Oryza sativa Japonica Group: one gene and its partners. The main gene of each other region encodes a partner of the protein of the gene in region 4 in a complex. Links are inferred from orthologs where the notes say so. Each region holds a gene or a part of one and is shown on either strand. Other genes may lie near its edges. The genes, in order: sister chromatid cohesion 1 protein 1, sister chromatid cohesion 1 protein 3, sister chromatid cohesion 1 protein 2 and sister chromatid cohesion 1 protein 4.

Region 1 (5,341 bases), on a different chromosome or scaffold from region 4:
CCTTCCTTCGAAGTTTTTCTAAACTTCATGTGCAAACTTAAACACCATACATAACACGAGATGTGCAAGAACCACAACAGCAGAAAATTGTCCAACTATTAAACATTTAGGATGTCACATCTTTGGTCCCCTCGAGATCAAGATGTCTCCGTATGGTTCCAGCTGGTTAACCTTGATAAAATCATGAGTTGCTAAAACTGCAGAACAAAGGGTCCTCAGTAAATACAAGTACTGAACCAATAATAACACATACAAGCACCTAAAAACATCAAACTGCCACGCTAAACAGTAAAGCTAAGAATATAAAACACTAACCAAACTTTTGTGAACACCGATCTTGCCCACACATGGTGTTAGGCCCTCATCCTCTCTCATCGAGGGAGAAAAGAAACATAACCATTATTGACATAGTTAAAATCACTAACTCGTCCATCAAACATGGCTACAATCTGAAAAAGAAACAAAAAATACATAGCCACAATGATGTACGATTGAATTTCCAAGGTACTTCTTCAAGATTTTCCAACATCTGTCTATGGCTAAGCAAACTAGGTGTTGCCCACTTATCCAACTCAGGAAATAGTGCTATTGCACATTTGTTTTCCTCCCTTAACACTACATGAACTAATAAAGTGAACTTATTATATTTACTTGGTCAATGTAATGAGAGAAGCCTGGGAAAAACGTAATGAGCCTAAAAGGTTTCGGTGATATCATAACTTGAAACAATGGTTGGAATATTTCATTGCAAAGTTGCAATATGGAAAGGAAGTACACATGGCTTATCAAGTGTTGAAATGAACTTACGGAAATTATAAATAACCATCAAACCAGCAAATGAAATGTTAACATTATGTTTACTCTAGCGATTGCATCATCTGTTGACTCGCATTGGGATTATAGAACTCATACCGCATGCTTGATAGAAGAGTCGGGCAGCCTTTGCTGTAGTCATCCCATGTGCTAGCTGACTTAATGATTCAGACTGTGAGGCCCCTGGGGTGTCAAAGTGTAGCTTGAGGTACCTGGATGGATTTAGTTTGATGATCACAGAGTATACATCTACTGTAATCTGTGGAACAAACATAATGTATAGTTGAATACTTACGAGTGGATTGATTGTGTGACCTGGTCGATAGGATTGGATTTCTTTTCATATGGGGTTTGAGTAGGTTCGATTTCTTCCAGCAGGTCTGTGACCAAATTAAAAGTTAATCGGTATGATGACGGGGAAATAAATTTCCACACTTTTGTATAGAATCATTTGAAATAAGGACTGAAAAGAAGTCAACCTGGAGTTGGCCCAACATCTGAAAGCCTTCTCATCTTGAAATCTCTAAGTTCTTGCTCGAATGGGAATTCTTCTTCAACTGGATCGAGGTTCCCAAAGCTTTTTCCAGATGAATGCTGCCTCTTGGACCTGTTCAATGACCTCACGCAGTTGTACTAAGACCTCTATGAAAATAGAAGGACCATAGATAGGAAGCTGCCACTTGATAGTTGATAGTCAAGTAGCCTAGACCAGGGTTTCCCTTACCACCGGTAACCGCGCTTACCGCGGGGGTACAGTAAGGGTTACCGGTGGTAGGGTTTGATAAATTTTGCCCAAATTCAAAATTCCAAACAAATAAAAAAACTTCTTGATTTGTAGTGGTAGACAGTGAAGAAATTTTTTGAAAAAGAGTAAGATAAATTCAAATTTGAGGGTAAAACCGAATGTTCATTAGAAAATGGAAAAAAGAAAAATGTAATGGACCTTAGGTTGCACAGTTGCACTGTTTATCTGGCCCATTAAGTCCCATAAGTGGGAAAAATATCTCCTAGGTCCTCTCATCTATCTCTATCGCTCTCTCTCGGCACATGCTTTCAAATGTGAGGTTGTTGAATTGTTGTTGTTGAATTATTATGCTACGAAATGTTGAATTGCTTCGAAGTCCATAACATAGAAAATGTCATGCAGAATTTTTGTATTTTACACCCAAAAGTTAGGTTTGCAAGTATCCTATATATTCTTCTAATTATCCCCAATTTCTACACACATTTAAGTGCTTTTTTAAACTTTTTTAAGAGTGTTTCTATTCTGCTACACAATTGGCAGTAACCGCGCGAATATCGCGGTTACTGTGCCGAAAACGCAAAACCGCCGATTTTTAATTCAAATATTTGAGGACGAATTTCACGTGGTTTTCAGCGGTTACCGCTGGAGGGGGGGGGTAACAATCTCCGTTTCCTTTTCTTCTTGCCTAACACTTCATCAATAAGACAACTAACCACTTCGATGCTTTGGAACATAAACCAAAGAGGCTCCAGTATAAAGACATGCATCTTCAAAAGTTTGCACGGATAACTTTTTATTTATTCCAGGAACAAGTCATATTTCAGAAAACTAGTGAAGGTTGCTATTAATCAACACTCACCTTCCGGATGGCAACTGTACTTCTGGATCCAACTGCGTAAATCCCCGTCCAGAGCCACCAGAGCTTGAAGCAGACCTGCGACTTAGCCCTGCAGCAGGACTGATGTCATTCAGTGTCTAAATAAATAAAATATATTGTTTTTTGTACTTACCAGGACTTCCAGGAGTAACACTATGATCACTGTGAAAAGCATCATAATCTCTTCCATATTCCCCACTAGTGTTTCCTCGGAGTTTTTCGATGTCATCTGCAAAGTCCACTGGGTGAAATCCCATTTCCCTGTCATTATCAACCTGAGGCTGCAAATTGAACCACTTATCAGACAAGTTCAAGAATGAATGTAAATGTTACAGCTCAATAGGAAAAGCTAGCATAAATCATTTCCATAAACATATAAATTTAGAAATAACCTGGGTTGGAAATGCCTGAGGAGGCAAGTTTCTTTGCTGTTGTTCTGGTGATGATGACTGCTGCCCTCCTTTAAAAAAGATTGCAACCTTTTCAGTTCGAACTTAGCAGATTAAATTATAAAAAACTTACAGTTCCCTTGGTGATCCAGAAAGGTGAAAGAAAACTACAAATTGTGTAGTAACCTGAAGATGGAGCTTTTGGGGACTTGACTTCAGTACATTCCTTCCAAAGCTGCATAAGTTCCTTAGGATAATAAAATTCTAAGGGTGACTTCTCCAAGGAAGATATTAGAGAAACGAGGGGCAAGTCCATGAGGTCTCTTATCTTGATTGACCGAATAAGATTAACTTTCTGCAATATTACACGGCAAAACATCAGATATGTTCACAAAATTCTGCATAGTTACAAAACTCTACACAGAATTAGGTAATCAAAGCAATTACATACACTGTTGATTCTGTGCCTTTTGGTAATGAGGCTTGATGGATCCTTCAGCCATGTTTGATATACATTTCCTGGGATCATTATCTGGTCGTTATCCATCATCACCTCATCATCTTTCCTACGTTTTTTTCTCTTTGATGATTTAGCAGGTTGCTGACCCTGGTTAAACAATATCAAACAAAACAATTATCTTCTTCATCTAGATGTTCCTGAAGCTAACGGCTCGCTTGATCACAAACCTTCATCTTCTGCTGCTCTTGCTCATTTTTTACAGATGCCCCCCCTGCAGAAAAGTTGTCAGTAATTGCAACAAGGCACTTGCACTATGGCACATATTAATGTACCCAAACCATGTCCAGCACTTATATCAGATATAGCAAACTGAAGTACAGATAGTCACGAGGAAGAGGCTATATGCAAGTCTTGTTTAGCAAGTAGAAAAGATTCAAATATAATATAAATTGAATTTCAGTCAGTAAACTAGTGTGAATGGTGACAAGTTACACAATGTGTTTTATTATCCCGTTGACAAAAGCCAAATTCAATGACATAACATGTAGCAAATTCAATGGCAATCGCTCAGCATCTCTACCTAGCCTCGCGAAAATCCAACCGTTGGAAATGTAGAAAGGCAACAGGAGATGATGAGTGAACTTTTAGCTTCTTAACCAACATAATATAGCAGAGTATATGATAAGATAGAATATCTAGCTGTTAAGAGATATTGACATAACCATCAAGTTCATATCCCTGAAGAAACTACATCAAATCATAAATTCACTGAGATATATTTGGATGGAAGTTTTACTTGTTTGAAATATCATTTGCATCTGTGGCATGCTAAAAAACAGAGATGAGAATTGTTGTCTTTTGGCATGGAAACTGGAAAAAAAATCCCGATTTACAGGATGATAGTACCCTTTCCAAATTTAGGATCAAATAGACCAAACCATGTGCTTGAATTGACCTTGTTGAGCTTCTTCGTGAAGAGGGGATGAGGCAGCATGATGGTTTTCTTGTTGCTGAGGAGAGTCTTCCTGCCTAGGTGGAGAAGGAACCAGATTACTTGGAACCTGTGGGTGTCCATCAGGAGTGACATTGAAAGTTGCATCATCATCTGTTATGTCGAATCTGGTGACATTGTAACATTGCTCAATGAATAATTGTACTGGCCAAAATAAGGAACAAGAAGTGCAAAAAATGAATGGTAGAATAAGAGAAGAATAAAATTTTGCTTCACCTCTCAAAACGATTGAACACATCAGTCTCTCCAAGCCCAGACCCGAAATTATCAGCCAGGGTGATATTTTCTGCATCAGCTGAGATAACATATTTCAGTCAGAAAGTACACCTCTTAAGCAACCACAAAGAGTAATTCATAAGAAAAGAAATGAAAACCTTGGTGATGATTCTCAGCGCGCGAGAAGTCATCATCGTCTAGGTTGACATTAATGTATTGGTCATCCAAATCCTCCAAACGCTGCACATGCATGACGGATTTCAGAGGAATAGAGACAATCTGGCAAAAGTCAGGAGACTGAAAGCAAGACTATCTCGTGGTTATTGCTCATAACTTAATGCCATCTTTCAATGCATACAATCAGACACCACCGAAATATACATATTACAGGGATTACCATTCCCCGGAACCTTGTAGTATCAGCCTCTGAGAAAAGCATGGGCTGCTCCACATCCATATCCATGATATTCTCTGGCAGTGTTACTGCTTCATACCTGCATGAAGCCCCAAGTTTAGATGAGCAAACCATTACTGTTTTACTCTTGGTACAAAATATCATTCTCCATCCACCAACTTATACCCACTCTATGCTATTTACAAAAGTAAGTTGAAAAGACCCTTGGGATACAATCATTCAGAGGAACTATCCAGGACTCCAAGAGGGTTAAACTCATTGCAACAGTACAGGTATCAACATCACGTGAACATTGCAGTAACTATCGAACATAGTTCCGAAGGGATCAAGGGGATGATGGCACAGCCACATGGTTACATATCAGATGCAGGCCACAATGGAAGGAAATGGTACACCCACAAGAGTCAGTCCTTC
Region 2 (5,885 bases), on a different chromosome or scaffold from region 4:
CCCGGGGTGTGTGAGGAACGGCTGCCGCCTTGCCTCGGGCCGAACCCCCTTGGGGGAAGGCCACGTGGCCACCAAGGGCAGGCCCTTCTTCATAGTCTGGGTACCCCCGGGCCCATATCACCGATAGAGACTAATGTTCCTATGAGTTTTTTTTAGTCTCATTGTGATATGGAAATAAAAACAATAAGTCTTATTTGTATATGAAAGTGAAAATGATGAGAAGTTTTTCCCCGATGATGAGATGTGGTAGATATGCATTCTTTGGTGGTGGATCTTAATCATGACAAAGATGAAATGCATGGAGATAAAGCGATATGTATCACTTCTTATCTCATACTTTTTGATAGATTCATATATATGATTTCCATGTTATTGTTATATAAGTGCGAGACTAATGTTTACTTGAGCATTTTCTTATTTAGTGTTCTTTACATTAAGAACATGGAGATGATAAAGGTATGTGTTTATGTTTGTCTTTATCATTGCTACATACCTTCTCCATGTGTATAGGATAAACCCCATTGGTTCTTCTCTACTTGTGCATACACTTGCCTCTCTTATATATTTCTTTGTATGAATATATTTAGGGAGAGCAAATCTTATACATTTATTGTGCATGTTCTAGATACATGTTGTTCACCTATTATTTATATTGGATCTTTGCACTTAAGCTTGCATGCAAGTATATGATACTTGTGGTGTTAATGAATACTCAATAAACATTCATATCTTTCATAGGCAACCGGTTGGTCATCAAGTGGAGGATGACAAACGATTTATTAGGACTAATGTCTTCCTTTGAGTTGTGCAAAGGAATAGGTCCCAACATCCATGTGTGTGTGCATGCTCAATTGATAAAATCTTGATACAAAATGAACATAGATCAGTAAATCATGGATTTGTTGGAAGATCATATATATCATTAAAAAGGAGATTGAATAGATACTAAGAAATCACAAATATAAAATTTGTTGAGCTAGAAATGCCATATGTATGTGGAGGAAGAACATATGAATATATTCAATTAAGAATAATAAATATGTTTATTCTATATTCATATCAAAATAATACTGAAGCTAAAGATAGAGTGTTTAATTAACATGTAGTCTCATAATCAGATCTATCTTTAACCTCCGAAGCAAATTAATGACACGTATAATATAAGGTTATTAAGGGGCCATTTGGCTTGACCTTAAGTTTGCACTGGGGTAAACCCAAAAGGAGTAAACTTCTCAAAACCTTCATTTTAATTTTAAAATTTATTACCAAGTAAAAATTAAAACAAATGATGAAAATGGAAAGAAAAATGTATGTTTGGTTCCATTGTATGATTGATAATGGGCAAGGGTGATCCTTGCCATTGAAGGACAGTTAATTTTGGATCTCATTGAAGTAATAAAATCATGCAAGGTAAACTTCAGACAAATACAACAAATAATGGTGCATTGCAGAACACATATTGCATGAAAATTTTCTGAACAGACTCTGCGCTCTGGCACACTGAAGATATCAGACTATGTACACTGACATTTATAAAATTGTCTTATGCTAGTCATCCAACATTTTTCGACTTGTATTTAACATATCACTACCATGTAATTAAACAGCAAAAGTAAGAAAAATTCTTATCTTCATCTGATTCCTTGTTCACTTTGCTTTCTGCCAAGAAAGCATAGGCAAGGACTACCATCTGAAGTCCTAACTGGACAAGATGTATTGGCTTTCGACAACTACTAATGCTACAGCTTTACAACTACAGTATTCTGCAACATAAACCTAAATGGCATGGAGTGCCTACTTGTTCTAGTAATTGGAGTCCAGCAAATTGCAGTAGATTAGCCAGCCATGTCGCATATAAGAATCCATTGTTCAGGCCATTTCTGCAAATCCCACCAAAGCTCCTTCCCGCGGATCAAATGAGATTATATGTGGTTCTAAGCAACTGAATTGGTCAAAATTTGGCTCCTGAGAGTGAGGGTTTAACTGAAACTGCTATATCACCATAGGCTGCTTCTTGTTCAACATCAATATAATCATAACTCTTTAGAACCTACAGAAAGAACAAACATACGATATGTCAAGACATAGTGTGGAAAGTGACTACAAATTATGTCCAAAAGGGAAATGTAACTTGCAGTTTAAATGGTACCAGTGTTTCAAAAAACATGCGTGCAGCTTGTTTCCTGTGTCTCCCTTCCAAGATTCTGTTCAAGATAAATTTACCAGGTTGGTCATCTGATGTAGCCGAAGCCATTTGATCTTTGAAGTACTGTGCCACAGCCCTACAATGCAGTATGAAACATGTCAGAATTCACACTCAAATGGTAACATATAATGAAATCGTCTATTGGAACTTATCCCATACCTTGTCCTAGCAGACATGCTTCCCAATCCTGTGGTGCCAGTACCTGCGGTAGATATTACTCCAGGAGTACTCATGAGGCTAGGAATCTCGGGCAAATCTCCATCAAGTTCATCATTAAATGGAAAAGGAGAAACTTGAGGATCAGAGTCTTGTCCAGGTGACATGTAACTCATATCTGCTGGTGTCCCAGAGGCAGGAGTTTCTCCAAGTCTTGATTTCGGAGTTCCACCAGCACCAGGAGTTTTGAAAGGAGAATTGTCGTCTCTTATTGGAGATGGAATATTTTGTGGCGAGAATCGAGGGATCTCAGGCATATCATCAAAGTGTGACGTGCCTGCTTCGCCTGGAGACTTTGGGTTGAGCTCAGGTTCAGGCTGTCCATCCGCATTTCTTGGAGATTGTGGATTAATCTGAGATTCAGGTTGTGCCTCTGCATTTACAGGAGACTTTGGGTTAAGCTCAGGTTCAGGTTGTCCATCTGAATTTCTTGGAGCTTGTTGATTGAACTGATGTTCAGGTTGTGCATCTGTGTTTCCAGGAGACTTCGGGGAGAGTTGATGATCATGTGTATCCTGAATACTGTCATTAGCTACCCCAGGAGTATGCTCGACAGATCCTGACTCAGCTTCAGGGTCAATCACATGGGGGAAGGTTCTCTCGTAGGTTTGACGTAGGGTAGCGCACATCCCTGAAAGGAAGAGCAAATTTGAGCTGACATTGTTTCAGAAGTGAAAGGACCATCACTAGTGGAATCAGAGAGTATGGTAGCTTACCATGGACCAAAGGATCAAGCAAGAAACCATCCTTTTGGCGAATCCTGTTGAATTTCCACACATCCACCGCTGCTTGAGGCAGTTTCCTCCTCTTGCTGACCAGACGATGTAGTTCACCGCCATCAATTTGTCTCTTCATATAACTGTGCAAGAGAGTATGAGGTCTTATCATTTGTAACTAATACAGTATAGTACCACCAGATATCATACTGTTGTTGCAATTAATCCCCATCACACCTAGCACTACGATGGTAAAAAGTTCATAGCCTGACTTGTATTTTTGAACAGAACAAATCCCATACAAATATATCAAAATTATTAGACGAGTTAATTACCGGTTGATAACAGCACACATAGAATTATTCTATTTATAGATAAGCTGTTTAGAAAAACAATATTCGAAGGGTGGTGTAGGTGAGGGGACAGAGTAATAGGATCAGAGGAGACAGGACATGGTAGAAATGAAGATGTCATTTGGTAGATTTTAAACAAAACGCCCAGGCAAGACATAGTACAATATGAATTTCAAAAATTCATCGAAGTCCTGGTAAACATATAATATTTAATTTGAGGTTATTTCCACCAATGAACTTTGCTTAAGAAGATAATTTGTAAAGTCGAACTTACGCATTGGAGAACACTATTTCATTGTCATATCTAATTCTCCTCTTATCTTGTGCTGGGTGTGCATTCATCTCATCTTGTACTGGTTGTGCGTTCATCTCATCTTGTACTGGTTGTGCGTTTATCTCACCTTGTACTGGTTGTGCATTCATCTCATCTTGTACTCGAGGTGGAGATGGTTCAATCCTAAAATCAGGCATTCCTAAAATCACAGAAGGAAAAGAACTTGGATGAGAAGACATGTTTAACATCAAGGGAAAGTACATTTTACACAACATTCTAGCATCCCACATAAGTAATGCTGGTGGAATTGCAATGTAGTCTTATTTCTATTAGGTCTTATGAAAAAATGAAGGCAGAAAACAAAACTGGAAAGAACAAGATGAGTCAACAAGCAAAATACTAACCAATATCCATTGGTATAACATCTTCTATATTGTCATATGTGGTGCTTGTACTTCCTCGTGCATTGGGAATGGATGTCCCAGATAATCCACCTTGACCAGGGGATATAGTTCGTTCCAGTGCCGGAGGGGTGATATTCTTGGACACAAATGGTGAAGATTCCTCAGTCACATCCATGGGATCATTGTTTACCTCATCAATATCTGGCAAGTTAAGTTCAGGGCCCTCAAATGGTGCTTCACGCATTATTTCAGGTAAATCTGGTGCTTTATCTGCCTGATTTATGTTACTGGTGTTCACTGCCTCCGAGTTGTTGCCTTGGGAAGGATCTACGGAAATTTCCTCATCCATATTGTCACTTGGCCCAAAATCGATGTGAAATGGAGGCAATCTCCTGATAAGCAAAGCGGACATGAGTCCACCAAAATAGAAATTAGAAGGAAAAAAAACATGACACGTACTCTTCGTCAGTTGGTTCAGGTCCCATGTGTGAAGATTGTCCAGGAGCTGATAGCTCTACTCTAGCATCCTACACAATTTATAAGCACAAATATTAAAAAACATGCAAACTAAACAAGCCTGCAAAAAGCGCAAGTCAGTGAGGAATACCTCATCAAGATCAATCATCAGATAGTCTCCTTCTGCAGCACCAAAATGAAATCATTAAGCATCCGCATTGGAATGATAATAATACATATATTGACTAATTGAACTTCGTATACCAGCCAGGGTGATCTGGTCCAGACTCTTCCGATGATTATCTGGCGTACTGTCAGAAAGTTAACACAATAATATTAGTTGAGGTTGTATGACGCGGAGAAAATATATGAGAAGAAAAGTACTCACTCTATCAGACGAATTGCATCATCTAGGTTTATGTCATCAAGACGGAATGTATCAGGCAATGTGATGGTGTCAAAAGGCGCATGATCCGCATGAAGGGGCAGATCTACTTGTACAGAAGCGAAGGCGGTTCTGATTGTGCTTAGCATCCGGTTACAGTCATGGAAGAGGTAGTTTACCTTCCATGAATAAATGCGAACTAGACCTAGAAGAAGATGCCCTGACAACCTCAGAGCAATTGGAACTTCAGGGAACATGATAAATTCTGAAAAAATAAAACTCATGCATTAGAAGACATGGCATTAGGTTGCAGAGTAAAGCATAGGGAAAATTCAATGTATATGAGAAAATTGTTCAATACTTAACTAAGGAAAATATGTAACCTATTTTTCTCAAAAATGCGGGAGGACTGAACTTCATTTCTTTAAGAAGAAAATAGATAGAAAAAGAGGAGGTTAAACTGACAAACACACCCAAGAACACGCTCACGTGCACAACACCTAAGGGCGACACATGACCTCACTAAGCAAACACAAACTAATTGCCAAGGGTAAGCGACCTGCAGAAAAATGTGACCTATTCAGCATGCCATTATAATACAAGTTCTTGCAAAGCACAGTTCGAAGTTGAAATAAAAAAAATTGTCACACTTTCCTCCCAAAGAGAATAAAAAAAACTTCCCATAGAGTATAGACATCTATGCCCAAATATGCAATATTAATCCAGTTGTTTTACTTCCAGTCAAAAAACATGTTTTGTTCTAATAAAATTCCATCAGTAAGCTTCCTAAACATAAGGCTTATCTACTTTGTTCTTGAGTTTGCAAGGTTAAATATGTAAAGTTAATCACAGAATAAAGTAAAAACTGTTACATA
Region 3 (7,076 bases), on a different chromosome or scaffold from region 4:
TACTTTCCTATATCAATGCTTGTAAACATGGAGGACTATTGCTTTACAGTAGTAGGTACTGAGCTAGTATTACATGTAAGTCTGTCTCATTTACAAGAGAGGAGAAGTTGCCGTGTGTGCAAATGCTCAAATTCGGCTCCAGGAAACCAAGAGCGTTCGCGAATCCGCAGACCGGGCACCGTTGCTGAGGTGAGTGAGCTGGTCATGTCCGTAGCCTACGTGTAAACCAAGTGATGGTCCTTGCTGGAAGGTGACGGGCGGTAATAAATAAACTATACCCCCTGGTCACTTTGATCGGTCGGTACGAGGAATGGTTATCCTTCGGGAAAGCACGACTGCATTCAGTAGCGGCCTCGGGTGAGCATCGGTGTCCGAGTTCTCTTCCTCGTCGATTTCATCCTCATCCGCGAGGTGAAATTACCTTCCAGGGTTCGGTTGCAAAATGTACATACGCAAACGGCTGGGATTTAATTTATTATTAAGAAAATAGATTCACTAGATGATTAGAGGTTATAATACCCGCTGTTCAAACTATGTGTGTATGTTCAACAACAATCGGAAAGGGCATGTGAACTAGTGGTGGAATAAGTGGATTGGGAACTTGATTTGTAATACAAATTATTTGTTTAGTTGCTATAAATAAAGAGAGGGGAGGGAATTCATGCTATTTGTTTCGTATGTGGATTTTGAGGTAGGGTGTGTTTAGTTCACGCTAAAATTGGAAGTTTGATTGAAATTTGAACGATGTGATGAAAAAGTTTATAAGTTTGTGTGTGTAGGGAAGTTTTGATGTGATAGAAAAGTTGAAAGTTTGAAGAAAAAGTTTAGAACTAAACTTGGCCGTACTAGAAAATTATTATCTCAATAGTTAGTCACTAGGGCTAAGCTCGAGCATTCCCTTCTTCCGTAGGAACTGATCGGACTCATGTTTCCTTCTCACCAATTACCCTCAATCTTGTGTTACTAAAATATTACGTGGATTTCTAATCTCTCTGTCTATCTACAGTAGTTAATACCTCCGTTCTAGAATATAAGCATTTTTAGAGTTGGACACGGTTATTAAGAAGTTAGAAGTAAATGATGGATGGTTGTGATTGAATGAATAGTGGAGGTAGGTGGGAAAAGTGAATAGTATAGGGTTATGATTGGTTGGGAAGAGAATGTTGGTGTAGAAATTGTTATATTTTAGGATAAATCTTGAGGGCTACAAGTTGTTATATTTTAGGATAGAGGGAGTAGTCAACATGTCTAGCTCGACCGCTCCTTTTATTTGCGATATTGATTCGCATCTTAATATGCTAAATCCATATTATGTTGTTTTAATCCACCAACATTTATGTTGATAAAACCAACTACACCTACCATATAAGTAGAAAACCAAGTAAAAGAATAATAAATGCAGCTTTACTACCTGATAAGAAATACCGTGGAAGTTGATAATAAATGCAGTAAGCAAATAAATTATATTATTTATACATTTGCAAGAGGTTGTAGGAGGCAGGGGGTTAGCCACTTTGTAGGTGGATTTTACCTTATTTTTCTCTGTACAAATAACACATTGTGATATCTCTGGTAACTACTATCTTCTGATCCTATAATCCACTATGCTTATAAAAAAGTGTGAAGTTTGTAATGGCAGAGACGTATTAACTTGATTTTTTTTGAAGTGGTGTATTAAGATGACAACAATCTTATCTCTCAACAGTAGAGATTTAATCAACTTTTTGCTTATTATGCCGTTGTCACGGGATATTTTCCATCATATAATTCTCTCATTGTCATTCAAAAAGGAGAAAGGAGTAACAGAAATAAATCCAAAACAAATCAGAAAAAGGCAAATTTCCAACTTAGGCTATACAAATTAAACGGCAACCTCCATTTTTGCAAGATATTGTTCACAATCACTTACCTCCCTTTTATAGTATATAGTCTCCCACAACGGTATAAATTTATCCCTTCTAGAAAAACCAACAGCACAAATCCAAAACAAATCACCAAAAAAGAAGCAAATTCCCATCCTTACACACGCCTGCAACCTCCACACAAAAACGGAAACTTTTTTCAAACACGCGAAACCACCGGAGGAGGAGTTGTGAAAATACTCTCAAAACGGAGCAAATTACCAACGTTCAATTCTCAAAACGCGAGGGCATCTCCGCCATTTCGCCCATCGCCCCAACCGTTTCTCCTTCTCCTCCTTCCCCTTGAAGCCTCTCCTCTTCTTCCTCCTCCTCCTCTGCTCTCCCTTCGCCTCGCCTCGCCTCTCCTCCAAGAGCGCAACCGTAAAAAAAGAAAAAGAAAAAAAAAACCCGAGGCGGCGAGCTCTCGGGCTGCTTCCGGCTCCGTCCGTAGCGGCGAGGAGGGGGCGGAGGGCCATTGGCGCGGCGGCCCGCGCGAGGCGCGCTTGCATTGTTGGTGGCGGCGGCGGGGGGTCGACGGGGTGGAGGGCGTGTTTTTTTGTTGGCTTGGGGTGGAGGCGGGGGATGTCTTGCTCGAAGGTGCTTCTGTCGAAGAAGGGGGTGCTGGGGACGGTGTGGGTGGCGGCGGTCAGCGGCGTGGCGGCGCTCAGCCGGGACCAGGTGGTTCGCACCAACGTCGTCGCCTGCGTCGGTAAGCGATGCGATGCCCACTCCTCGGCCTCAGCGCGCGCGCGCGAGAGAGAGAAAAAAGTGCGTATTTTTCGTGGGTTTTTATGTCGAATTTGCGGTCTAGGTGGGAGGCAGTGGAACAGTGTGGGAGGCGGTGTGCGGAAGAGGGGTTTATCCGGGGCTTTAGGTTATAGAAATGAAGCGAATCATGTGATGAGAATCTGGTAAAAAAAGAAGAAGAAAGGGAATGGAATTTGAGAGGAGTTGTTTGCTGTCATGGCCTCGGTACCCTTCTATACTGTATTGTGGTAATCGTTGTGGCAATTTGATTTTCCATGTGAAATCTCGAGGTGAAAGGAAAAGGTAGCACCTTGGGTGTAATAACATGGACCTGTGGGTATGGGTTTTTGGATGGTGAAGAGTTTTGTACTTTGTAGATGGCATCGGTTTGGGGTTTGGGGTTTAGGGTCATTGTACGACGACGGTTCTACGTATGGTTCTATTAATAAGGCCCAAGCATATACCCAAGATTCGGGCGCCAACTAGGAATACCTTGTAATCCCTAAATTTAATAGCATTGAACAAATCTAGTAGTCCTGTAAATATTGTTTGGTCTGACTCGTAACGGAAATACAGGTGTCAAAAGTGTGGAACTAATAAGAAGGGAAATGCTATATCCAAAGCATATGAAACAAATTAGAACAGTAAATGCGGGTTGTGACATTTTATAACGCTTTCCTTTTCTAGATCGATTTATTTTTAGCATTCTTTCCCTAATATGCTCGTAACGCTTGCACATTTCCTCTTTCCCCTGGCAGATAAGATTTTGCCTGATGACAACGACAAAACCACATACAGAGTATTGGGACTGCTTCTGCTTGGCATTGTTAGGATTTATTCCAAGAAAGTGGAATACCTCTGCCATGAATGCAATGAGCTTCTTGGATCATATGGATCAGCACATTGCAATGAACTAAGTATCCCAACTGGAGGAGCAACAAATAGAGTTTCAAAGCAAGCGAAGAAACCTGTTCGCGCAAGAAGATTAGTTGTAAGACAAGAAGGTGCTTACAAGGTAAAAATACCTATGCAAGCTGTGCGAACAACTAGAGCAGAAACAAGAGCTACTTCACAGATAACTGAAGTTCGAGACACACATGCTACACCTGATCTTCCAACTTTCACAATACCCAAAAGATTTGAGCTTGACTCTTTTGATTTGGGGATTCCTGAAGATAGGTAACAGGTTTTGGTCCTATACTAGTTTTATTAGCTTGTTGCTTAAAATTGTGGTTTCTGATCTATTTTTAAAACTTTCTTTGTAGGGATGATGATGACGTGGATCATCACCAATTGCCACATCAAGGTAGAACTGCTGTGATTGATGTTTTTACCACTGCTAAGAAACCATTTTATTTACGTTCTGCATTCTTTTGTATAGGTACCATGTTGGAAGATGAGAATCACCATACATCCTGTTTGTTTGAGGTACACTGCTCTCTCCTGTATTGTCCACACCACTTACCGACACATGCATGCACAAAAAAAAAAACTTGATCAAGGGGTAGGACGTCGTCGTTGACTTAGCTTTAAAGAAGGTGCCCACTGAAACCTTGTGCAGCGATGTGGACAGAACTGTGGCACCCAGGATTTGAGCCCTGGGTGGGCGTCACCTTACTGGGTGCTCTACCACTGAGCTACACACTCCATCCAACACATGCATGCATACACGAGCTGTATTTAGTAACATCTGAAATGAAGAAATGGAAAAACTAACTAATGGTATGCATACTAGATAAGAAACACCTGGTATTGCTAAGCATTGATATAGGGTGGCCAGGTGAATGTGTTATCCAGTGATCCCAAAGTGAGGTAGGCTCCCAGGTAGCCGAAAGTACTACTCCCTCCATCCCAATGGTAGGTATTTCTAGCGTTCAAATTTGTCCCAAAATGTAGCTAATTCTCCACCTACCTCGTCATTTGAACCAAGCACAGCCATATCCCGTTAAATTTCTGCACCTACTTTCTCTTCTCAACCGATCACAACCTTCCACCATTCAACCGCACCTATTTTCTTAATTCCCGTGAAAACCTCTAGAACTGCTTACATTTTGGGACAAAGTACTGATTAGGCAAGCACTGTAGTTTTTGAAAAAAAAAAGGACTCGAGTCCGCTAATGCTTTGACTGGCATATACCAAGTCTGTGAATACCAGTGTGATGCTGGCTGCAGTCCTGTACCTTGTGCTAATTATTCTGTTCAACAATTTAGAGAACTGCTACAGGTGCCACTTGTCAGTTGCTGAGGGGTTTAGGGGGTTAGTTCTGTAATTGTCTTATTTTTTTTAGAAAATGAAGGAGAGCTGCGCTTCATTTCATTAAGAAAAAACAAACCACCCATACAACCAAGGGCTCACGAGCCCTTCACACATCTACAAACAGCACCACACAAGGTGATACACGACCAAAAAATCACCCTACAACAGCCTAGTGCCCTTGGGTTAGCGAATTACACCCAGGTTTTCATTTTTTCCCGTGTTATTTATAAATAATACCACATAATTGCTACTCCTTTATTAATTATTATCCAATAACCATGTCTTCCTTTTGTTTCGTATATTATCTGTTTGGGAAACTAAAGCCTTATTTTGGTCCAATGAACAGTCTTATAAGATGATGACATGCTCATACGCTGATCTAGACTCTGCCTGCATTATGCCAGTACGCGTGTAAGTATAGAGATTACTGTCTCAATGATGCTAAAAAAGATTATCTGTACCGAATTTCTGAATGAAGCTTCAATGCAGCACTATCCCAACTGAAATGATGAGTGTCATTAGTGAAGTCAACAGTCTACTATGCTTGAGTAGCATTGGGGGTGAACCTGAAAATCACAATGCTGAATCTGCTTGCTTTACACCAGTGAAGGAGTAAGTATATATGGTGTCACATTTCTCTCTTTACAGTGCGCATACTTTTCCTCTGTTGCCGATGACCTTTTTTTTTTTTCTGGAACAGTATTCTTCCACCTGAGATGGTGGATATGATGGCTGAAGTAAATGATCCTTCAGATAAAAGCACAAGGGGGAAAAAACCTCAAAGAGAATTGAATAGGGATGAGAATGGGAATTCTGCTTGCCACATCCCTTTGTCAGGGTAAGTAAATGTTACTTTTGTGGTTTTACCATATTATGATTTTAATGTCACATCAATTTTTTTTTACTTAAACATTTTTGTGAAAAAATAGTGCATTGATGCTGACCATATTTATTGGTACAGAAGTAAGGAAGTGCAAATACCTGAAAATATTGTGGAGAATGTGACTTTTCCAAGTCGTGATGCAAATTGTCCCACAATTGAAGAATCAGAAAATGGGTCACTGCATGGAACTAACACAAATCCATCATGTGATGGTTTTGAGGAACCCGGGTCTCTTGAACAACCAACTTTGCGCTGTAAGACAAAGCTAATCAATGAGCTGTCACCTTCCACTCCGGAGCCCATGACAGAGGGTGGCACAGGTTTAATTTTTGTGATAAAAATTCCTCTTCTATTTGTGGTCATTATTATGCTTAATTTGTGATGTGTGGGTTTCACTGATTTATTCAGGGCTACCCTGCTCTCCTAAATTTATGGTTACTACACCAGCTAAAAAGGAGAAGCACCGGGTGACTAGAAAACGAAGAAGGGGATTATACAATAAAGATTATATACCAACAGATAGAGGAGACAAACGGAAGGTTAGAAGAAGAGGAACATGGGTATTGTATGATGAAAATATTGTTCTACCAAATGAGTAAGTAGAGCTTCTAGCTTAGAAGCTCTTCCATCTGTTGCACTACCTATTCCTGTTTGATCTTTTAGGTATCCTAGGAGCTGGTTTGGCAAACTTAGGCTCATCTTATCAGCTTAAGCAGGGATTTGGGATTCTTTGATGAATCTAAGTTCTCAGCTTCTTCTTCTTCCTTTTTTTTTTTTGCTAAGATATTTAAGGCTCAAGGCAAGGTACTGTAAGTTATGAAGCCTATAGCCTCATAAAGAATTATAAGCTGAGAACCAAGATGCTTGGTTGGCTGGCCCTGAGGATGTTTGTGTTGTCCACTGGGATTCAAATCCTTAAAACATGTGCTCTCATTGGTTCTACCTGTTTGCAGTGGGAACCAGCGATCATGGCTGGGGTGCTAGCCTCTTGTTCCCGCACTTTATTTTTGTTTGGGGGCTTGGGTTAGGTGGTAGGCTGCAGTGCCATACTATTTTTTATGTGATCAATGATCATGTAGTATAAGTTGGAACATTAATTTTTCAATATGTGGTACTTCTCTATTTTTAATTGCTAATGCTTTGGATTTTTTTCCTCCTTAATGTAGAACATTGAGAAACACAATAGAGGATGCAAGTGATCTAGTGCAGCAGAGAAGGAAGGCACCTCATACTTGTCTTTATACCTGGAAGGAGGGCAAAATTCGTTCTCTGCCAGTTACTTTCATGG
Region 4 (6,390 bases):
ATAGGACATTTCTCATGGAAGAAATAATAACCAATCGAGTTGTACTACTAATGGTAATGAATAACAGGTACTCCTTCCGTCTATAAATATAAGATTTTTTTATTAGATGTGACATATCCTAATACAATAAATCGGGATATAATCTCTGTCTAGATTCGTTGTGCTATGATATGTCACATCTGGATAAAAACTCTTATATTTTGAGAGAGGAAGAAGGGAAAAAAAAACAATGCACCGACACTTGCTTGGTGAGAGCCGAGGCGCTACAGGTAGTAACAAGCTAAACAGCAGGTCAGGTCAGGCTATAGCTCGAGATATATGCCACTTCGTGTGGCTGACTGGCTGGGTGTGGCTTGTCACCCTACTGTTCACGCACGGGCTCGCCGTCCGTCTGATCAACCCATGGGAACTCCACTGATCGGCGTACTGTAGCCGACAGGATGGCGCTGGGCACGCGAGGCGGATCTCGGCATCTCGCGCGCACGACGCCATGAAAATCGCCGTGGTGGCAAGGCAACGGCGTGGCTCGCGCGCGCGGCTTTGCGTCCGCGCGCGTGCGTGGCGTTGAGTTCGCGGAGATGTGTCGCGTGATTTTGCACGGGAATTGCCGGTGTTTGGGCGTGGAATTCGTGCGGACGTTGTTGGTGGAGGATGCCGCGCGCACGAGGCAAAGGAATCGGCAGCAATGCCGGACAATGGGACAAACTGCCTTGCGGCGCCCATACATCCATCCATCGATCAAAGTATGGTCGTCACTCGTCAGGTGGCAATGCTTGCTAGGCTTCACTTCAGTCTTTCATGAGCAGTGAGCTAGTGAGACGCGCGACACGAAAACCCTGTGCTAACCGTGCAGATAAAAACAATTTCGGCACCGACATTCGCTGCTCCGTTCTTCATTTCTGGTCGGCTTTCCCCTGTCCTTTTGGCCGTCGATTAATACTTGTCATCCTTCCAAGAATTTCCATTTTCCAAACACCTTATTCTCTGCCAATTCTGTCTTGCATTTGCTGATGCTTTTACATTTTCTGCGAATAGCGAGAGCACACAGCAGCGTGTCACTTTACGTATGTGCTAGAAAGGGATCAAAGCTGCTTTAATCACACGCCCCACATTGCTCAATGGTCACTCAGACGTTCATGCTGGTGACTCGGATCACCAGCAGAGTGGTTGTAATGATATAATACCAATACAGAATTTTGAGCAACCTTTCCCCTCCACTTCAGGCAAAACAAACAAAAAAAGGTTATCTCTTTTCTCACGATTGACCTACGAATCTGAATAAATTTGAAATTAATCGACAGGTTGCTCAAAGTCAGAGAAGTATACAGGTTTGAAGGTTTATTCAAAGCAACAATAGACGGGGACTTAGGAGCTGATGCTATCACATTACACAAGCAACTTTACAAGAGCTAATCATATATACACTGAATAGCCAACACGGAGGGGGGTACAACAGAATCCTACCCAAGAAGCCTAGTAAACACAGATTAGTGCGGGGATACTACAGAGGGAGGATAAATTAAAAAGAACAAAACAAAAATGACGGTCACGGCGATGCGAGATCTGTATGTTGTTGGTAATGTGACAGATATGGTAAGATTGTATGTATCGCGCCACGCTAGCTGGTTTTTGATCTAGAAATCTGACTTCAGGAGCTTTGGCCCTGGCTTAACGCTGACAAAATCAAAGGAGTTTGGTTGATCCACACTTATGAAGTCCTTTGTTGTCAGAACCTGTGAATGGAACAGAACACAATAAGTACCAAGGATAATGTCAACAGAAATGATTCGAGAAAACAATTTAAGCTACCATTGCAGGTCTAGTTTGACAATGACTACAGAAATTGGTTGATGCCAGTAAGATTGTCTAATGAGAAGATGGCTAATCGAAACATGCAATATAAAATGAATGGCGTATTCTTGATCATGCAATTCTAGGTGCCTCCAATCACACTGGAGCTGAAGGTAGGTATTCCATTTCTTGAGTGGAGAAACAGAAAAGCATAACCGTCTTACCAATGTCTCAAAAAACATCCTTGATGCTTCTTTCCTAGTCTTTCCACTTAACAGATGATCAATGGCCACACTCTTTCTTCCCAGACCAGATTCCTCATCAAATAAAGTTTTGAGATATCTTGCAACACCCCTGAAGAGCAATTGTAACAACTCATTATAGAACTCAAAAAAATATTGAGCATTAAACCCTGAGAATATTATCACGAAATCCAATCGTACCTAGTACGTGAAGACCATCCACTGTTATCAAGAGACTGGAATTCCTCAGGATTAGGCTCATCATCATTAGCCTCATCACAGTCCACCTCATCATCATACATCAGAAAATCTGAAAGTGTAGAGTACAAATATGACACAAGTCATAAAACTTATAAACCTCTCGCGATGCAACACTAGAACAGTAAGATCCACCAGTGTCACATACGGGCGTGTGGAAGTTCCCATCACAAAATTTGCATATAAAATACAATTAAGAACGGATATTGCACTAGTCATGAAGGTTAATGTCATGTTTATTTCTACTAATACAAAAGAACCTAGGAATGGTGGTTATGGTGAGTCTGAAATCCCACCGCCACTTCTTGAGTCAGCCTGACCCTTCTGTGAATAATTAGAATATCTGAGCATGCGTCTTGTAATAAGATTGTTTTTATTTTGACATTGTAATATGCGTCTTGCAAATTACATATGATTCTCAGGATAAATATGCTCACTTTTTGAGTTTCGAACTGATGATATATTTATTAGAAAATCTGTGCATGGGTATTTAGCTAGTTTTCTGCTGCACCTACAAAGCATTGTACACATAATCCACATTATATTAGAACACTACTACACTAGTTTACACTTATGTATCAGAACAAAAGGCAATACCTGTGTCAACACCCTGAATCGCACTGCCAAAATCCTGCAATGTGAACAGCATACCAATTATGCCATGGACTTCAAATAACGACTGAATAAAATAGTGCAAGTACTGTATAGCATGCTACATTGTGGAATTAAGAGAAACACAAGTCATCTGACAAGTGTCTGAAGACAAGTGGAAACTTCTATATGGACTTACACTGCATTCCTTTAGTGAAAAGTCATGCCCCATATTGTCCAGATCCATAACAGATCCTACATGATTTTCTTGCAATCCAGAATTTTCACCCATTGCGGACAGAACATTTTCATCCTCTGTTGGCTGAGGAAAACCAGAAGCGTTTTGAGTAAATTCCAGTACGGTAATCTCAGAAGTCGGCATATCCTTATTGTCAAATGCATTGACATTGTCATGGACAATGTCACTCAACTCCCCTTTCATATCATCCACTGCTTGTGCAGAAACTGGATCAGAGCTATCCAGAACCACATCTGGACCAGGCATGTCATCTAGCACAAACAGAGGTGTATTTGTATTTGTGCTCCTCTGCAGATCAGCTGGAACATCTTGAAGATATTCCTTATCAAGTGAATCAACTTGAGCACTGTCACCCATATTAGTGGTTGCTTTCTCAACAACTGCAGTTTCTTTCTCATTATCAGTTAATTGTTCAGTTACTCCTTCAACATTGTTAACCTGTTTGTCAGATGGCATGTGTGAATCAAAATCAGTTCTAGTATCTGCTGCATCAGTTGCTTCAGGATGCATCGCATCTGACTCAGCTCCATCTGGTAGCACTACATGATCTTGGTGATTTCCACTGTCCTTTGCGCCAGAGGTGCCAACATCATTGCTGCCATCTGCCATAGTTTGGGACATGTCTAGCCGTACATGTATTTCCATATTATGAATGGTGGGATGAGCAACAATCTCATAGGTCCGATATTGCAAATCGTTTAGCTCCTTGCACATGCCTAGTTGGGAACACAAACATGCATCAGTAGAATTTCAGAGCATAAAACTAACCACTAATTATCCTCATATATCAAAACTAATTTCACTTCTGTTTCAGTTCTTTCCTAATTGAATTGAACATACAGTAAATGTGTAAAGAGGAAGCAGAGAATAAAAACCAATTTAAGTAGCTTACAGGAAAAGATGGGCTCATGGAATATATCATCTTCTAAGGAACCTTTCTCGATCATCCATATTTCGGAACGGGTACATGGAGCCTTTTTACGAATGCGCCTTATATCCTCAGTGCTGATCAACTGCTGCCGTATGGTACTGGAGAATGGAAGAAACTCAGTAAATAATATCACAGCAGAAAATAATTTGGACAGCAAAATAGTCCGCAATCTGATTTCCAGAGATGGACCAATCAACTCAATGTATATACTGCACAAAATTTACAAGAATATACGGAAAAAATATACTATTTGTTTCCCATCAGAAGACAGTGATGGCAGAAATTTAAGGACATAACACTAAAGAACAACAGTCACACAGTTCCATTCAACAAACTTGTTTGAAGGCTATGAGGCGTATACATACTCAGCATGTATAACCATGGCATCATCCATTTGCACTTTTCTCTTCGGTGTGGTACTCTTTGACGTCAACCTTGGACGTTTCAAAGATGACGTCTTAGGTGGTATTGGTGTTGAATCAAGCCTCAGTCCAGGGGTCCTTCTACCAACTAAATACAAGTCCACACAGTTAGTGTTAGACAATGCAGCAAAAGCCAGGCACAATTATTGTTGAGGAGGTTCATCCATACCTAATATAGACGCCAGTAAATCATCATCATCAGGAATACCATCAATGGTTCTTTTACCACGTGGTCTGCTAGACAATTTTTCAGTAGTTGCACTTTCGAGAGCTGGCAAACTGTCCTCCAAGTGTCTTTTTCTGCTAGTGAGACTACCTACTTTGTTACTTCCATCAGATTCAGTGGTTCCCTTTTCTGCAGTTACCTGGCCCAAGTCATTTGCCTGGTACAATTCAACGTCTGGAGCTGACAGCATTTTCTCACGTTCTGGAAATTCCAAGGTTGGTAGGTCACTTGGTATATCGTTAGATGCCATTTCTTGTGTTGATGCTTCTACATTCACTTGGGAATCTGCAGTTGCTAAGATAGCATGAGGTGCATGCTGACCGCCCCCTGCAAAACAAATAATCAAAAAGCAGATGATTTCACCTTTTTTTTATCAAATACAATGACTTTAAAAACAAAATCAACGAATAGTCAATTTACCTTGCACATCAACTGATCCATCATTAAACTGTGTTTGGTTCTCAATCACAGGTTCAGTAGGACCATCAGCGCATAGCTCTAAAGAATTTTCAACCAATGACACTTCAGTGGTTTCTTTAGCAGCTGTAGCTTCACCTGATGCAGCTACACCATCAGTATTTATCATTGACTTGTCCATGGTAGCTTCCAAGTTTGAGGTTTCAGCTTGGGGTGGCAATTCCTCAGTTGCACATTGTTGACTCAAGGAATCAATCTCCTGTACAGCACCAGAAGATTCAATTTGCACAGGCTTTGTCAATGCAAGTTCAGTCGTCTCAGCACCCACAAGATCATTAGCATTTTCAGCTGTCTTTGCAGTTTCATCATTGCTTGATGGTGAAGCTTTTCGCTGTGGACTCAGAACAGGACTTTCATGCACTCTGGAAGGAACAGTCTCTTCCATTAGGCCAGGTGTAGCCGGGGCCTGGGCACTTACAAACTCTGGTGATGCAGGCTCATCACAAGGGAAGGGACTAGGTTGATAGTATGAAGCTGATGGTCCTGCATTCCCATCATTGTTCAATAGCATATCATTCAGATCAGGTGTTTGCACATTGTATGTATGCCAATTAGGAAGACTGTTTCCTACTAGACCATCTGCACTTAACGGATTTAGTTTGTTGTGACTGGAAGGTCCATCCTCCATGTTGTATCCTTCAGCGCTTTCATCTTTATTTTGGTTATCATCAACTTCCATATCGGTAGGATGAACTGCTGATCGACCTTGAATAATAATGCTGAAGAGAGGCACAAACCAATGTAAATAAAGTAAAAATACAGAAAAAGGCAAATGCAAGATGCTGCCACTTTCAAATGTCATGGAAAAAAATCACAACACGTGTAGCAAATATATCAGTGTCACACCCCAGTATGGCCATCTGGACTCAAATCAGGAGAAAGTAGTAACTAGACCCTGGGTTGATTCAGACTCAGTCCAAGTGTACAATATAAGGTCAGAAGTTATAGGAAAACATAAAATTGCCTAGAGAAACTTAACCTCATCTGTGAAAACCCACAAAGGCTCCTTTAGATAGGATCAAAGACCCTTTATATGGGAGCAGAGACGTGTAGATAAAATTTCCAAGGGACTTGAATAGCTATTTTTTATAAAAAAAAGTGGAAGAGGTGATTTTACCCATCATCAGCCTCAAGTTGAATTGACTGGTCCTTGTTCAGCATTAATTCCTGAGGGGGAAACAAATAAAATTTAG

Evidence for each region.
Region 1: sister chromatid cohesion 1 protein 4 (region 4) and sister chromatid cohesion 1 protein 1 share a complex: the UniProt entries of both Arabidopsis thaliana proteins name them as parts of the cohesin complex. The link is inferred for Oryza sativa Japonica Group from reciprocal best matches to the Arabidopsis thaliana genes SYN4 and SYN1.
Region 2: sister chromatid cohesion 1 protein 4 (region 4) and sister chromatid cohesion 1 protein 3 share a complex: the UniProt entries of both Arabidopsis thaliana proteins name them as parts of the cohesin complex. The link is inferred for Oryza sativa Japonica Group from reciprocal best matches to the Arabidopsis thaliana genes SYN4 and SYN3.
Region 3: sister chromatid cohesion 1 protein 4 (region 4) and sister chromatid cohesion 1 protein 2 share a complex: the UniProt entries of both Arabidopsis thaliana proteins name them as parts of the cohesin complex. The link is inferred for Oryza sativa Japonica Group from reciprocal best matches to the Arabidopsis thaliana genes SYN4 and SYN2.

The regions. Positions count from the first base shown.
Region 1 is NC_089039.1:29,076,913-29,082,253, reverse strand, and holds part of sister chromatid cohesion 1 protein 1, read right to left. Parts: intron 5,007-5,341; coding exon 4,910-5,006; intron 4,753-4,909; coding exon 4,671-4,752; intron 4,592-4,670; coding exon 4,513-4,591; intron 4,404-4,512; coding exon 4,240-4,403; intron 3,556-4,239; coding exon 3,512-3,555; intron 3,432-3,511; coding exon 3,276-3,431; intron 3,180-3,275; coding exon 3,011-3,179; intron 2,896-3,010; coding exon 2,828-2,895; intron 2,717-2,827; coding exon 2,569-2,716; intron 2,506-2,568; coding exon 2,418-2,505; intron 1,421-2,417; coding exon 1,293-1,420; intron 1,194-1,292; coding exon 1,109-1,193; intron 1,026-1,108; coding exon 913-1,025; intron 450-912; coding exon of another isoform or gene 433-449; exon of another isoform or gene 316-432; intron 198-315; coding exon 115-197; 3' UTR 1-114. UniProt on the Arabidopsis thaliana protein: Involved in chromosome condensation, pairing and segregation during meiosis. Responsible for cohesion between replicated sister chromatids.
Region 2 is NC_089042.1:10,218,434-10,224,318, reverse strand, and holds the end of sister chromatid cohesion 1 protein 3, read right to left. Parts: intron 5,276-5,885; coding exon 5,014-5,275; intron 4,937-5,013; coding exon 4,890-4,936; intron 4,809-4,889; coding exon 4,777-4,808; intron 4,697-4,776; coding exon 4,629-4,696; intron 4,562-4,628; coding exon 4,170-4,561; intron 3,965-4,169; coding exon 3,766-3,964; intron 3,282-3,765; coding exon 3,139-3,281; intron 3,054-3,138; coding exon 2,366-3,053; intron 2,283-2,365; coding exon 2,150-2,282; intron 2,051-2,149; coding exon 1,952-2,050; 3' UTR 1,427-1,951; downstream 1-1,426. UniProt on the Arabidopsis thaliana protein: May be involved in sister chromatid cohesion during mitosis.
Region 3 is NC_089038.1:24,874,280-24,881,355, forward strand, and holds the start of sister chromatid cohesion 1 protein 2, read left to right. Parts: upstream 1-2,254; 5' UTR 2,255-2,483; coding exon 2,484-2,610; intron 2,611-3,406; coding exon 3,407-3,827; intron 3,828-3,913; coding exon 3,914-3,954; intron 3,955-4,029; coding exon 4,030-4,076; intron 4,077-5,251; coding exon 5,252-5,316; intron 5,317-5,394; coding exon 5,395-5,517; intron 5,518-5,605; coding exon 5,606-5,743; intron 5,744-5,866; coding exon 5,867-6,108; intron 6,109-6,196; coding exon 6,197-6,383; intron 6,384-6,954; coding exon 6,955-7,076. UniProt on the Arabidopsis thaliana protein: May be involved in sister chromatid cohesion during mitosis.
Region 4 is NC_089035.1:39,655,599-39,661,988, forward strand, and holds the end of sister chromatid cohesion 1 protein 4, read right to left. Parts: intron 6,365-6,390; coding exon 6,315-6,364; intron 5,917-6,314; coding exon 5,141-5,916; intron 5,048-5,140; coding exon 4,664-5,047; intron 4,583-4,663; coding exon 4,438-4,582; intron 4,171-4,437; coding exon 4,034-4,170; intron 3,858-4,033; coding exon 3,082-3,857; intron 2,923-3,081; coding exon 2,889-2,922; intron 2,344-2,888; coding exon 2,235-2,343; intron 2,146-2,234; coding exon 2,016-2,145; intron 1,734-2,015; coding exon 1,635-1,733; 3' UTR 1,262-1,634; downstream 1-1,261. UniProt on the Arabidopsis thaliana protein: Involved in sister chromatid and centromere cohesion during mitosis.